Linked DNA regions of Drosophila melanogaster. The main gene of each other region encodes a partner of the protein of the gene in region 2 in a complex. Each region holds a gene or a part of one and is shown on either strand. Other genes may lie near its edges.

Evidence for each region.
Region 1: Br140 (region 2) and Eaf6 share a complex: the UniProt entries of both Drosophila melanogaster proteins name them as parts of the enok complex.

The regions. Positions count from the first base shown.
Region 1 is NT_037436.4:5,604,025-5,614,611, reverse strand, and holds Eaf6 (Esa1-associated factor 6), read left to right. Parts: upstream 1-6,311; 5' UTR 6,312-6,378; coding exon 6,379-6,525; intron 6,526-6,592; coding exon 6,593-6,806; intron 6,807-6,928; coding exon 6,929-7,060; intron 7,061-7,146; coding exon 7,147-7,331; 3' UTR 7,332-7,450; downstream 7,451-10,587. Other genes in the region: mthl2 (methuselah-like 2), read right to left, coding at 7,796-7,889, 7,946-8,140, 8,202-8,373, 8,438-8,689, 8,750-8,926, 8,989-9,142, 9,206-9,718. UniProt on the Drosophila melanogaster protein: Component of the Enok complex which has a histone H3 acetyltransferase activity. Might be involved in transcriptional activation of selected genes.
Region 2 is NT_033778.4:7,276,249-7,279,848, reverse strand, and holds the start of Br140 (Bromodomain-containing protein, 140kD), read left to right. Parts: upstream 1-1,747; 5' UTR 1,748-1,966; coding exon 1,967-3,110; intron 3,111-3,176; coding exon 3,177-3,600. Other genes in the region: Incenp (inner centromere protein), read right to left, coding at 1-742, 808-988, 1,052-1,120. UniProt on the Drosophila melanogaster protein: Scaffold subunit of the histone acetyltransferase (HAT) Enok complex which has histone H3 acetyltransferase activity.

The DNA.
Region 1 (10,587 bases), on a different chromosome or scaffold from region 2:
GAGGCCAAGTTTCCGAAGAACGTTTTGGCCATTGGCTCTTTTGGGCAATGCTAAAATTTCCGCAGAACGTGAAATTGTTCGAGTTTGAGTTTCCATGTCAGCAAATTTTCTTTGCCAGCGGCCAGATATGGAAAATTACCTTTTACTACACAATGGGAAAAGGAAACATTATTAGTTCGATATGGTCATGTGAATTGTTGTCATGTGCGGAAATCTGAATTTTAGCATGAATTTTGATTTGGTACCATAGAAATCTCATAGAAATAGTATACTTATTTTCAATCTGTCACAAAATAACAAACGCTTTGCCCAAAAATGAATTTTTACTATGATATATAAAAACAGATACTACACGTCTTTTCCATTTTTTTGTTGTTTATTTTTAATAAAGGATGTTTACCGTTGCGAACAATTTGCACGGTTTAGATTTCAGTCATCTTTTTCTATGCGAACCTTTTTTCCTTTCTCCCCTTCCTCCCTAACTTCCTTTTGGGTTTCCCCTCGATTTTGAAAACCTCACTGTCGTCTGTCAATTGTTGCCCACTTTGTATGCTGTAACAGGAGCGTAATAAACACTCGCCTAACGGGGCTTTTCTTTATTTTCGCCAGAGAGTGTGCAACTTCAATTGCCACAAAGCAAAGGCAGCCACGAAAGCAAGCTGCAACAACGAGAAAAGCCAGAACGAACGGCTGGAAAAGCCAGAGAACCGATCGCTAAGTGAAATGCTGCAGCGAAGTGCATTATAACCGTACATTTTGCACACAGACACAAACACACACGCACACACATACCCACTTGCATGGGAGTAATGCAATTTTCCACTTTTTTCTCTTAACGCGGCTGGAATACGGATTCTATTTGCCTTGAGCTGCGACACGAAAACTAAGTGTAGTTTTGGTGGTGATTCAATTTTTAAAATTCGAAATTCAATTTAAATGGCTTTAACTTTAAAATATTCATAAAAATATTCAAGGGTTAGATTAAGCAATATAATAATGACGCTAATGTATCTCGCTTAAAATAATTTTTAATTCTTTATATTACTATTATACTAATACTACTATACTATTTAAAAACGGTTTTTGTGTTGATAATAAAGGAGTCTAGGAAATTCGAGGTGCTGGTTCTCGAACCTTTGGTTTATAATAATGAATAAATTTCTTAAGCTGAGGTTTAAAAAAAATTGAGTAAAAACGTGGTACACAAGTGTAAATTTTTATTTTTAAATATGAATATATTATGAGCTATGTATTGGTGTTTTCAAAATAGCGAAAATGTTGGAAATATAGAAAACATTCTCCTGAATTTCTAGCAGCAACTTCTTTTGCTTGCTCTTTGCGTTAGAAGTTTGCCATAAAGTTTAGCGAATTTGATTTTGGACTGCAAGAGAAAGCAGTTTTTTTCGCTTCTTTCTTTCTGCAACGACTGCAACTGCAACTGCGCCACCAATACCAATAGACCATCGGATTTTACGCTGCGCATGCGCAACTCTGTTAGAATGCAATTTTCTGTTTCGCTTCTCTTTCTCCGCTAATGTGTGTGTTTGTGTGTGTTCGAGTGTCTGTGTTTGAACTTTGAAAAGTGGGTGAATGTACAGTAATGTTTGCTGCATGCTCAATTGCAATGCTGCAAGCAAAGAACAGCAACAAAACGTGGCAAATTCGTGATGTTCTGTCAGGGCCAAATGCGGCTAGGGAAAAAGCCAAAAGGTACAGGGCCACAGAAGGAAATGATTTAGGGCCGCAGGGGAAAATATTCTCCCAAGAAGATAATCGCAATGACCAAAAATAAGTTTGAACATGAAAGGTATTATTTTATACTAACAATCCATTATATTTTGAGATGCTCAAAACATTTAATATCGTTCTTTATTTCTTAAAATAAAATATTTGCATGGTGTCTTAATCATACCTACTTTTCTAATCATTAGCATTATAGATTTCGTAAAAAAAGTAATCTTTACATGCTTTACTAAGTATAATCAAAGAGGATAACTGCTCGATATGACTGTTGCTGAATTTATTAAAAGTAAAAACATCTTTTAACGTTTTCTTATGGGTACTTGGAATCATTAATCCTATTTATTTAGTTAATAAGAAAGTTATAGGTTCGCTAATATATTGCACTATATATGTATGTATTTCACTCGCTCGTTGTATTTATTATGGCCAGTTGTTGCGTTTGTCTTCTGAACGGGTGTTGAAGGCCACGTTAATCTTGAACTGTTTTATAAATTGGCACACTTATGCAAAGTCAACGACTCGTCGTCGCTGCTTTCGTCTCTCTATCTCTCCTCCTCTGTCGCCTCCTTCATCACTTGCTGCTTCCTCTGTCCGCAAAACAGTTAGCTTACTTCGTCCAGCTTCGTGTGAAAAGCCGAGAGCCGAGCTCAGACTCTGTGTGGCTCTGTTTGCGAGTGTGTGTGTGTGTTGCGTTGCATAACTTTCATGCCAACGCGCAGGCAGCATTAAAACGGAGCGCCACGAAAGTTCATTCGCCTCGTGCACTCCATTCGCCCCGTCTCTTTCTCTTTCTCCCCCGCCCACTCTCTCTTAGCCGTCTGGCTCTCTGTTAACTGATTCTCAGCCTCTTGGAGGCCAACGCACAGTTGCGGTCAAGATAATAGGAGTTATAACTTTGATTATTTCTGTTGAGCATTTTATAGGTTAATTACTACACTTTAATTTCTTTTATGATATTTTAATTTGTATGTAAGATTTCAATTATTGTCACTAAATTGAACTTCAACTTTTTTTTAACTTTTTGTAGCCACAATTAAATTATATACTTGTGGTCTTGACTGTCGCTAGACTGATTTGCTCTTTTTACTGAGCTGGGCTTTCGTTTCGGTTTTGTTGGCATTGTTGTATTTGCCATTGGTGCGCAGCTTGAAAAAGTTTTTGGTGTGTGCCTTGCAGTGTTGTCTCTTGAAAAAGGAATGTTTGTTGTTTGTCAGCGGCGACGTTATTGGGTGAATGTGTTTTTGGTTTTGGGTAGAAAAGAGAGTGAGGGGATACGATGCTGGAGACGATGACGATGTCGTCGATCTGTGCAGCATTGTTAAAGGTCAGTTCTCTTACCTAACTTTGATTGCACATTTTTCGGTTTTTATTTTATTTTTCGTCGAAACGTTTGCGTTTATGCGTTATTTGTTGGTCAACAGCTAAAAGGGTTCGGTGAGCCTAAGAGATGGGTAAAAAAAATATTAGTTTGACAAGGGCAATATCCAAAAGGTGCGAAATACAAACAGAATCTCAAGTAGCCATTAAACAATTTTGAAGGAAGTTATTAAAATCATTCAAAGGCTAAAGAGGTAAACGACATCAAAGACGAACAGAGGAGAAATGGTATTCCCTTGAATGAAAATATTTTATAAATTACGAGACTATTTATAAACGAGTTCTTCCTAAGTGCATAAAACTATACTTTTTAGCTGCAATTGATTCATAGGACCAAGCAAACAAAGGAAGTATAAAAAACTCATACATTTTAAGAGAGTAAGAACAAATAGCTAGCTTATAGTCAACATATGCGGCCACAAAAAGCAAAAACATAGTTTCAGGAACTCACACAAGAGGTGTATTCTATTCATTGCATGTTATAAAGCATGCGAAAAGTGCAACGACTAGAAAAAGCTTTCAAATCGCTTAGAACAAATCAAAAATCTGAAATGCATTCGTGCCCACACACAAAAGAGCAACAACAAAAGCACCACGAGTGCAAATTGTGACGCCCCACTGAAACGCACTCACACACATACATAACCGAAGCGAGCAAGCGAGAGAGCGCCACAATGGCCGCGACATTCAACTTGAACTTTTTGCGCACCTGCTCTCTCGCTCGCTCGCACGTAGAAAATAATCAAGATCAAGTTTCTTCCGGCATTTTGCACATTGCTGCAACAAAAACTAGAGCTTTGCACACAGAGAGCCACTGGGAATGAGAGCGAAGAAGAGAGCAAGCTTAGAAAGCTCTGCATTTGCATGTGCATTGCATGTGTGTGGATGCATAGCAAGTGCATTTCTGTTATCTCGGCTATGATGTCACTAATGCCACCGATTGGCCTACAAGGGTTAATCCCAAATATTGTATATAAAATAGTTTTTAAAGCAAATATGTAATTAAATAAAAATAAAAATTAAGATATTAAAAGTGTATTTCCCATTCTTATGGCTTATTGACATTTCACGAGTTGTCAATTGCTTTTGGCGTTTTTTTTTACGCAAAAGTTTATTTTAATTCCTATATATTCGTATATCAAAAGTTTTTTTAACGACTCTGCGTATTGTTGAGTACTTTATCATTAATAGAAAGTACATCCTTTTTGATCCCCCAACTAAACCCATTCAGAATTAGTGCAATGCGCACATCTGGTTCTTAAATTTAATTAAAAATATGCTACTTGAAAATATTGCTCTTGCTGAACGTTTCATCTTGCAGTTTTCGCTATCTGCCCAAAATGAAGCAGACTCATTTTCACTCGCTTGGCGTTGGGAAAGCGCCGGCTCGGCCTATGTATGCTATATGTGAAATTCTCGGAAAAGTCGAAAACACACTAAGCGGAGTGCAACAACAACGTCATCGTTGCAAGCATTGAACTCGATTTTGTTTTCATTGCCGCCTGAATTTCTAAAACGCAGCTAATTAGTCGAGAGTGTTTGTGTTGCTGCTGCTGCCGCAGTTGTTGCACTTGCAACACTGCTGCTTCTTTAGCTGTGTTCCACTTTTCTGGCAGTTTTCCACTTTTCCACCGGCCAATGCTGCGACTGCTGCAGATTTCACACGCGGCCAGGCAATTCATCATAAAAATTATAGTAAGCTGCCATCCAATGGCAGCACTGACCAAAAACAGTTGCAGTAAGCAACAAACTAAAAACTAAGTTAAAAAATATATGTATATTAATAAAAATGTATCGAAGAAGTTACAAATACATTAAGAAGTAACTAACTAACGTATCTTTATTGACAGCCACAATAAACTTCTAAATATTTTTCCCAGTGTAAACCAGAAGAAGGTGGCTTAAGACGATCGAACGTCAGAGTTTTCAGTTGGCAGATGTTTGCTTAAAACCAAATATAAATAAGTTTTTCCAAGTCTAAGTCCAGGCCGCGCCTTGTGTGTTTGTTTAAATAAAATGAAAGTTTTTTTGCTGCACTTTTTGTTGTTTCGCGAATAAGCGCGCGCCAATGTTTGACATACATTGAATAGACTGCAGTCTGTCAGTCAGTCGGTCACTTAGCCACTGAGCCAGTTAGTCACCTAGTCACTAAGTCGATTGTGTTAGTGGAACACGACGGAATGGCAGACTTTGCTTTAGTCAGCGACTTGCAACGGTCGTTGCCGTTTCGCTTTTGCTGCCCGCTGCATTATGATTTCATTTTCTAATCGAGTTCGTCTTCATCCGCAGCCTCACTTTATATTGCTTTCCTATAGTCAGCGCGAAAGGCGATGTGCTGCAGAAATAAAATCACGCATACGCCGCGTATGACGAAAGTGAAATAGGCGCGACGACGAAGGCCCATAAAAAGCGGTAGCCAAAATAGAGCCAAGTAAAAGAGAAAGAGTAGGCGGCAAGAGAGCGAAAGGCGGAAAAAGAGGAAAGAGGGTTCGGAAAGAAATAGAGAGCTAGAACGGTAGCTTCACTTTTTTTCGGCAGTTCAACAAACTTTGAAACGAACTTGGGTCAACAAACTATGCAAGACCCACGGGGAGATCATTAGAAGATCACCATCAAAAAGACGATGATGATGGCGCTACAGCTGAACTGAATCTTTTGTCCGTGGTATACGCATAAATAAAAATAACAAGACGAGAGGTCAATGGCAGCCACACTGGCTTCAAAATGCAAAGTGGTGAAGGGGCAAGCACTGTTAAATAAAATCTAAGAAAATGTGAAAAAAAACATATGGATCTAATAAGAAAAATCTTACAAAAATAAATGGTCATCAAGTTTTGTAACTGAGTTCTTTGACCAGTTTTTTTTTTTCCTGGGCTATTTTTTGATTTCGGCAGTCCTATTCACTTACAAAAGTGAATAAATGCAGTATTAACAAACTTTCAATGGATTTATTATGAAATAACTTTGAATTTTAAGTGCAGAAACTAACATTTAAAGAATCTATAAAACATATACACAAATAATATAAGACTTATTCATTCAAACTAATAGTTTATAAATTAGCTTGTTAAAGAAAAACGACAACGCCACCTATGCAATTAGGTTAAGAACTAGCATGCATATTTCAGCAAAGACATAAACCGATAGTCGGAACAGATATCCGTAAATCGATTAATTGTAATTACTTTTTATCAATATCCGGTCACATTGTCCAAAACAAAATATAAATTTGTTGAAATTCGAGCATTTTCTGAAAATATGAGCTCGCCAACGAGTAAAAATGTCAGCGAAACGAACGGGAACAAGCCAAAGAAGTCGGCCAAAACGAGCTCGAATACGAAAGGCGGCTCCATGGACACTCGCGCCGAGTTGGCGGACCTCATCAAGAAGAAGGCCGAAACATCGGTGAGACACAATATAAACAAACCCGAAATCGCAGCACTTTATCATTTTTTTGTTGCATAAATGACAGGAACAACTGGCCAATCTGGAGCGACAGATCTACGCCTTCGAGGGCTCCTACCTAGAGGACACGCAGTTGTGCGGAAACATCATCCGAGGCTGGGAGCGCTATCTGACCTCCAACAAGGCCACCAACTCCAAGGCCGACAAGCGGAATCGCAAGTTCAAGGAGGCCGAGCGCCTGTTCTCCAAGTCCAGCATCACCTCCATGGCTATATGCAATCGTAAGTGGGGGATAATTCATACTGTGTCATTCGCTTGTGTAATCGATCTAGGCTTTATGCCCAGAAGGGTGTAAATTGATACGCTTTAGTTGCCATACATGAGTATGTTTATTCGCCTTTAGCTGAGCGCGCCAGCGAATCGGATTCCATCACAAATGAAGACTCCAGCGACAATCAGATCTCAATCAATCAGAACACCACAACGGCCCACGACGGAACCACGACAATCAAGAGCACACCGAAAGACGAAAAGGGTAAGGCAGCACAGCACATTGAGATTCAACTTTAGCGCTTTTCTCCAGAAAAGTATATATGTTTAATTACACCTTTTTATTTACAGATTCACCCTCGCATCGCAATGAGGGCAGCGTAGTGAGCGGAATGGTGTCTGGATCTACGAACAGTGGAGGGAACAAGGATCTCCTCGGCACACCCACTTCGAATACAAAGAGCAAACTATCCACGAACTCCAGTGCGACAGCGAAGAAAAGCGGTCACATAAACAAGAAGATTCGACATCGATGATAACTGCTACCGTGTAATCCGCATCTGATAAAGCACTATTTACCTTCAAAGTTTTTAAATTAAAATTTGTACATGAAATAAAGCGAATGTAGATTTACAAACTTAGTTTATTTCCATACAAATGTCTTCTTTCTACATTTATCACTTCAATATTTAAAGGCAACTACTTTCAGCATCGCGTCATACTTTTGACTCATAGTTTTGATAGACATACAGGGTTTTTCCTCGGCTCAAAGTTAAGTTTGCAATAGTTTGATTAGGAAATGATGAGTAAAATATATTGTGGCACACTATAGTCGATTTTCTATAGTCGATGCACGTCATATAAAGAAAAATATTCATACATTTTGTGATTAAATGAATTCTATATAGAATGTAGAATGAAGTGAAATATATTCATACATTTTGTGAGAAAAAAAGTTATACTTTACTATTAAATTGATTAATTCGAAGAGAAGAAAATACTATGTCATGTTAAAATGCCTTTTTGTTTGAGAAATGGATTCAATCGTACTTTGAGTTGCAGATCTACTAAAGGCTCTCTGTTTGGGAAATATTCTGAAAAGAGACATTTTAGGGAACTGGTTACCCGAACTATGAACTATAAGACTTACTGTTTCTTGAATAGTACAAGAGTTTTGCGCCGCAGAATGAATAGCACAAATATAATGACGCCTTGGGACCAGTTGAAGTAGTCAGCTACCAGAAAGATATTGACCCACAGTTTCTCGCGTTGCACCAAGTAGGAGAATATCTCAAAGCTCCACGACATCCCCATCACAGTGAAGAGCAGCAGAAATTGTGTGTAACTGTAACGAATTGATAATATTTATCTTAAACTGACATTTTCAACTATTATAATTGATATACTTCTGTTTGTCCGAATTCAGCTTCTGTATTCTACCTTCATTGCGAGCAATCTTTCGAAGAGTCCTCTTGGAATCTATTATGTGTTTAGCCGTCAGAACAAACATAGTTATGTTGAAGAGAATCAGGAGCACCATCGGTCCATAGAAGTACACCATTGCAGACCAGCTTTTAGCTGAGGGTGGAAAGAAAAACATTGGTGAGCTGGTACCACAAGCCGGATACAAAACAGAACCCACTATAGATCCAGCAATGCCCTTCGTCGCCCACGCGAGGCTGCCACTCCTCGTTGTTCACAACGTTATCAGCCAGATAGGTGACTCCGGTCAAGGCCAAAGGCATTGCCCAGGCGAAGCAGCTGTATAGCAGAAACGCACGTTCTGACCGAATGTTCATCGAGGCACAGGGATTGGTAAGACATTTCCAATAGTGCCGACTGATGATAGATAGCCAAAAGAACGCAGCCATGACGAAAAAGTATCCCAAGAAACCTGTCGTAAATGGTCAATGGTTTGTCAAGTTGTGTTGAAATGCATCCCCTCTAAGCTAACCTGCTGCTTTACAGAAATCGAGCGATAACTCCCACAGATCAAGGAGTAGGAACAGGTATCCGAAAAATAGGCACATCATGTAACAGATGAAACACTTGCCCTCCAAATTCATTAGCTTCTTAACGCACAGGTACACGGCGATGGTAAGAACCAAGCATATCAACGATGTGATCATCACTATGGAAATAGGAAAGATATAGAACTGGGAGCTACCATGCAAGCAATGGGCATCATCTTACCAACGGTCTGTCCCGTTCTGGATGGCAGTATCAAGCAGTTGTGGGGTATAATGCGAATGGAGTTGTTGTTACCTTCGCCGAATGTTCGGTGCTGCAGACAGTACTCCGACTTGTCCAAATACACTTGATCGTAGTGGCGCAGCAATCTTCCATTCTGCAGAGAGCCAAAGCATAAATAAATCCTGCCCAAAAATGCTTATTTTTCGAGCAGCCATACCTCGAACAAGGTGTACTCATCCATTATATCCCGGTTGTCTAGGTAAAACATATCATCGCAGGGCTTTGGCAGATCCCACTGCACCATGAGCTCCTTCTTATAGTGCCTTTGCACCACTGATCCGTCGTCCAGGGTCACATTTAGCATGGGGTCCAGTAATTCGTTCTCCTCCGTCGTCATGTTGGCGTAGCATTCGCCCATATCCATTATGTGGTCATGTGGGCAGCAAAACCTGACGCAAGTCCTTAGCTTGCACACACATCCTCTCACGTGACTTGGCACCTGCTCCTTATCTCCATTCGCCAGAAGCTTGAATTCATACTTGGCCGTCAAATGGGCGGGAATAAGTAATCCCTCGTAGAGGTATGATCCATTCGAGAGCCTCTGGCCTTCCGAGATATCAACGGTATCATAGAAACTGCAGTCGGCAATCTCAGCACTCGAAGATTGCAGATTCAGCAAGAAATATATTAGGATCGATGCAGAAAGTAACATTTTTGAACTAGCAATCATATAGTTAGCTGGACATTCTTTAAATATTACTTAAATAAATAAGAATGTAGTGGTACTACAAAATAGCAGCGACTTCACTTTGCGGATGCTGTTTTACGATTGGCACAAACTAACTGGGAAAGCGTTATGAAAAGGGAATGTAAAAATTATTATTTTGATAAAAAAGGCTTATCGGACATTCCAATTCGTTGCTCATTTCTGAGCCATCTTTTTTTCCTACTGAGCGAGGGTTGATAAATTATGTATAAAACTTAAATTATGTATGTATTATTCAAGCAACTGCTTAGGTAAACTATTCTTTTTCTTTTATTCTTTTTTTTTTACATATTAACAATAGTATTACATAAGCTTATTTATATAAATAAATCATTTAAAAAACACAATTTTTAACTTTTCAAAAGTAATGCAGCTTATCAGTTTTCTGTAGCATAAAATAAAATATAAATGGAATTTTAAGTATTTGGTACTGACTGTAGGTTCCTTAAAAACTATTTGTGAGATACATTCGAATAGCCCGCCAAGGTGATTCCGCTATGCGATAGTTGGTATTTTTGTAACGTTTTTCCCATCGATACGTTCCCAGTCACGTTTTCGTTGGCATTAGAAGTGGAGAAACATCGATGTTGGCGAACATCCATGTTTTCGATGTCTTTGGCAAAAAACAAATAAATTGATCTTTAAAAAAAAAACTTACATTTCAGATATTTATCCATGTCTTCCAAGACACCAGCCTACACCACCGGCGAGTCACAATAAATATGCAATATGCTATTAATAATTGTATTAGAAAATATGGAAATTAATTTAGACTTACAATTTACACACTTTGCTGTTTCTATGCGCTGAAAACATCGACGATTCCTCGAAAA
Region 2 (3,600 bases):
GATCGCTCCTGAACCGTTCGCGAATCGCTGCTACACTTGCGCGTGCGCGACGAGACTGGCGAGCTCTTGTCCAGGTCGCTGAATCGTTCCACCTTTATGGGTCGGTGGCTTTCCACGTCCTTCTTCTTCTTGCGGACCTTCTTGGAGACCTCCGTGGATGTCGTCGTGTTGCTGGCCACCGTATCGTCCGGTCGCGCTGCCTCCGTTGTTACAGAGGAGACGGTGGTCACATTTGCCGTGGAGACCGCATTGGTTAACGGGGGCACTGCTTCGGTACTGAGTTTCTCGCGCTTTACCTTCACGCGGAGTGTCTTCGTGGTGTTCACGTCCTCTGTGACTGAGGCCTCCTCCGGAGGCTTTTGCTGCTCAGCTGTTTCTGCTGCTGGCTCTTCTAGTTCCGGCTCCGCTAGTTTATTTTCCTCTAACGCCTGTGCACTGGTGAAGCTGTTAAACTGGGAGACTCGCTGCTCGCTCTCAACCTTGACCTTTACGAGCTCCTCGCTGCTGGGCCGCCGCATCTTACGGTTGAGTGAGGGCTCCTTGAGTAATTTCTCGGTCTTCAGCTTAGCGGCTCGCTGTGGCCTTCCGGAGCCGAGGGTGGTGTCCGCCGAGACGGGCACAGGCGGAGGCGGCATCAGCGAGGCCGTGGAGTTGTGCTCGTCCTCGGCGATAGCCAGCAACTGGGAGTTGCTGACCCGAGTGCTTTGACGGGCCGACGTGTTGTTGGCCGTGGCGTCTGGAGCTGCTCAAATGGAATATCACAGGGGTTGTTGGTCGTTAATGCTTTAAAATGGCCAGGATACTCACCCTCGGGCTCATTCTGATCCTCGGCCAGTGAGGTGAGTCGCTTGGGGCGCTTTTTCGTTTGCTGCGGCGTCACCGAAGAGTTCTCCTGACTCTTCGCTGCCGGAGCACTGTCCCTCGGTTTGGCCTCCGCCTCCGGCTGGCCTGTGCCGTAGAAGAGGTGGTCCAGCTCCTCAAAGTGGGCCTAAAAAACACATATGACGCCATGTTGACAGTGTCGGAATTTCGTCTCCTGATCCTGGCTTACCTTGCGCAGGACCTCGAGCTCCCTGCGCAGGTCCGAAAGCGAGCCCAGCACGCCCAAGATGTCCTCCATATCTAGCGACTGTATCTGACAAACTGCAAATCCGGATTCGGTTCCTTCGATTTTATCGTTTTTTTCAAATGGCGGCAATTGCGACGCGCGTCAGCATTTGATAACATGCCTTTAATTGTGCACTGTTGACAGTTAACAGCTCGTCGGGTGCTGTAAGGCGCATTTATGCCTCTGCTTTCCAACACTGCACGGGCGATAAAGTTCCCGCGCAAAATGAAAAACACAACCAAAACTTGTTTTTTGAGTGAATATTGGGAGATATTTATTTGAATTCTTTAAAATAATATTATTGGGTTATTTAAATAGTTACGTACTGGATTTCTAGCCCTGTAAATTTTGAAAGTATAACATTAGGTGAACCAGTTCCAATACGTTCCCGCCACTACCATCTCTAGAAAGCAGTGCTGCACGGCTCCCCAAAAAACATATTGTAAACAAATTTGAGGGAAAATGGTAAGGGAAAGAACAAAAAGGAACATTTAAATTATAAATATAGATTACGGAAGAGAATTAATTTGCGTAAAGGACCGGAAATATTTCAAACAAGTTTCAGCAAACGTCCAGTGCTGCACAAGCACTTCCGACGATAGTATCGCCATGGCGAGCTGACCAGCAAGCCCATCTCTAGCACATTTGTTAAAAAATTTGCAACAAGCCAACGAAAATCGACCAGGAACGGTGGACAGCCAAAACCGCGCGCTCTGCGACGACCACCGTGGGATGCACATACGTATGCGCAGCCGTGCCGCGGAGTAGACACAGTGCCCGCGATCCGCGACCAGCGAACCGCCAAACCCCGAGAAGCCAGCTGCAGCAGATCCACAGATCGCGCCGCAGATCCAGATCATGGGCCTCGACTTCGACGCAGTGGAATACTGCAAAGGGGTGAAGACCCAGCAGTCCCAGCCGCCTTTCGCCTGTCCCGTCCGCGGCTGCGACCGCAGCTACAAGACCATCATGGGTCTGCAATACCATCTTATGAAGTACGACCACGACAACCCACAGCCGCTCACGCCCGTGCTGACTCCGAGCCGCAAGAAGGCGCGCTCACGCTCCGGCGGCCACCACTCCACGCCTCGTCCGCACAAGGATCACCCCACGCCGGGTGGCGGTGGAGCTGAGGCCAGAAACGGCTGCTCCTCGGCCAGCGCAGGAGGTGGATCGGCGAGCGGAGTCAGCGCCCGGCAGTACGCCAATCCAGAGTCACTGGTGTCCTACAACGAGGAGGAGGCCACGGTGACGTTTAACTTGGACGGGAAGAGCGTGCGCCTGGGCATCGACGACGCCTTGCCGCTCGTAGAGGACGAAGAGTTCGCCGCCCTAGTGGCCAGGGGCTGTATTCTGAATGCCGACGCACCACCGCTGGAGGAGAACGCGCCCTGGGCAAGGGTCCAGGTGCCCGTGGCCAGGGTGGCCGAGATTCCGGACTACCGAGTGTCCGACGCCCCGCCACGGCCGCTGGCCTACTATCGCTTCATCGAAAAGTCCCTGGAGGAGCTGGACGGGGAGGTGGAGTACGACGTTGACGAGGAGGACTCCGCCTGGCTGGAGCACATGAACGAGGAGCGCCAGCGACTCGGCCTGAACGCCGTGGGCATCGACACGATGGAGCTGCTGATGGACCGGCTGGAGAAGGAGTCGCACTTCCAGGCGGCGGCCAACGGCACACCCACAGGCGTCGAGGTGGACGACGACGCAGTCTGCTGCATTTGCCTCGACGGCGAGTGCCAAAACACCAACGTGATACTTTTCTGCGACATGTGCAACCTGGCGGTACACCAGGACTGCTACGGTGTCCCCTATATCCCGGAGGGCCAGTGGCTGTGCCGCCGATGCTTGCAGTCACCCAGTAAGCCTGTGAACTGTGTGCTCTGTCCCAATGCGGGCGGCGCATTCAAGCAGACGGACCACGGGCAGTGGGCGCACGTGGTGTGTGCGCTTTGGATACCGGAAGTGCGGTTCGCCAACACCGTCTTTCTGGAGCCAATAGGTGCGTAGCTCGATCTCCCAGTTTCTTTGATCCCAGTTCCAAATAACATCTGAGTTCTTTTTATAGATTCAATTGAGACCATTCCCCCCGCTCGTTGGCGACTCACCTGCTACGTGTGCAAGGAGAAGGGCTTGGGAGCCTGCATCCAGTGCCATCGGAACAGCTGCTACGCCGCCTTCCACGTTACATGCGCACAGCAAGCGGGCCTCTACATGACCATGGACACGGTTAAGGACGGGCACAACGATTCGTCCATGCATGTTCAGAAGTTTGCCTACTGCCACGCCCACACGCCGGCCGACGCCAAGCTCAAGATGAACGTGCCTGACTTCGAGGACACGCGTCACAAGATGAAGGAGGCGCGCAAGGCGTTGGCCAAGAAGCGCTCCACAGCGCCCGTGGTGCTGATTCCGACTATTCCGCCGGACCGCGTTCAGGAGATAGCAACAATGGTTACGATGCAGCGCAAGAAAGAGTTCCTTGACCGCAT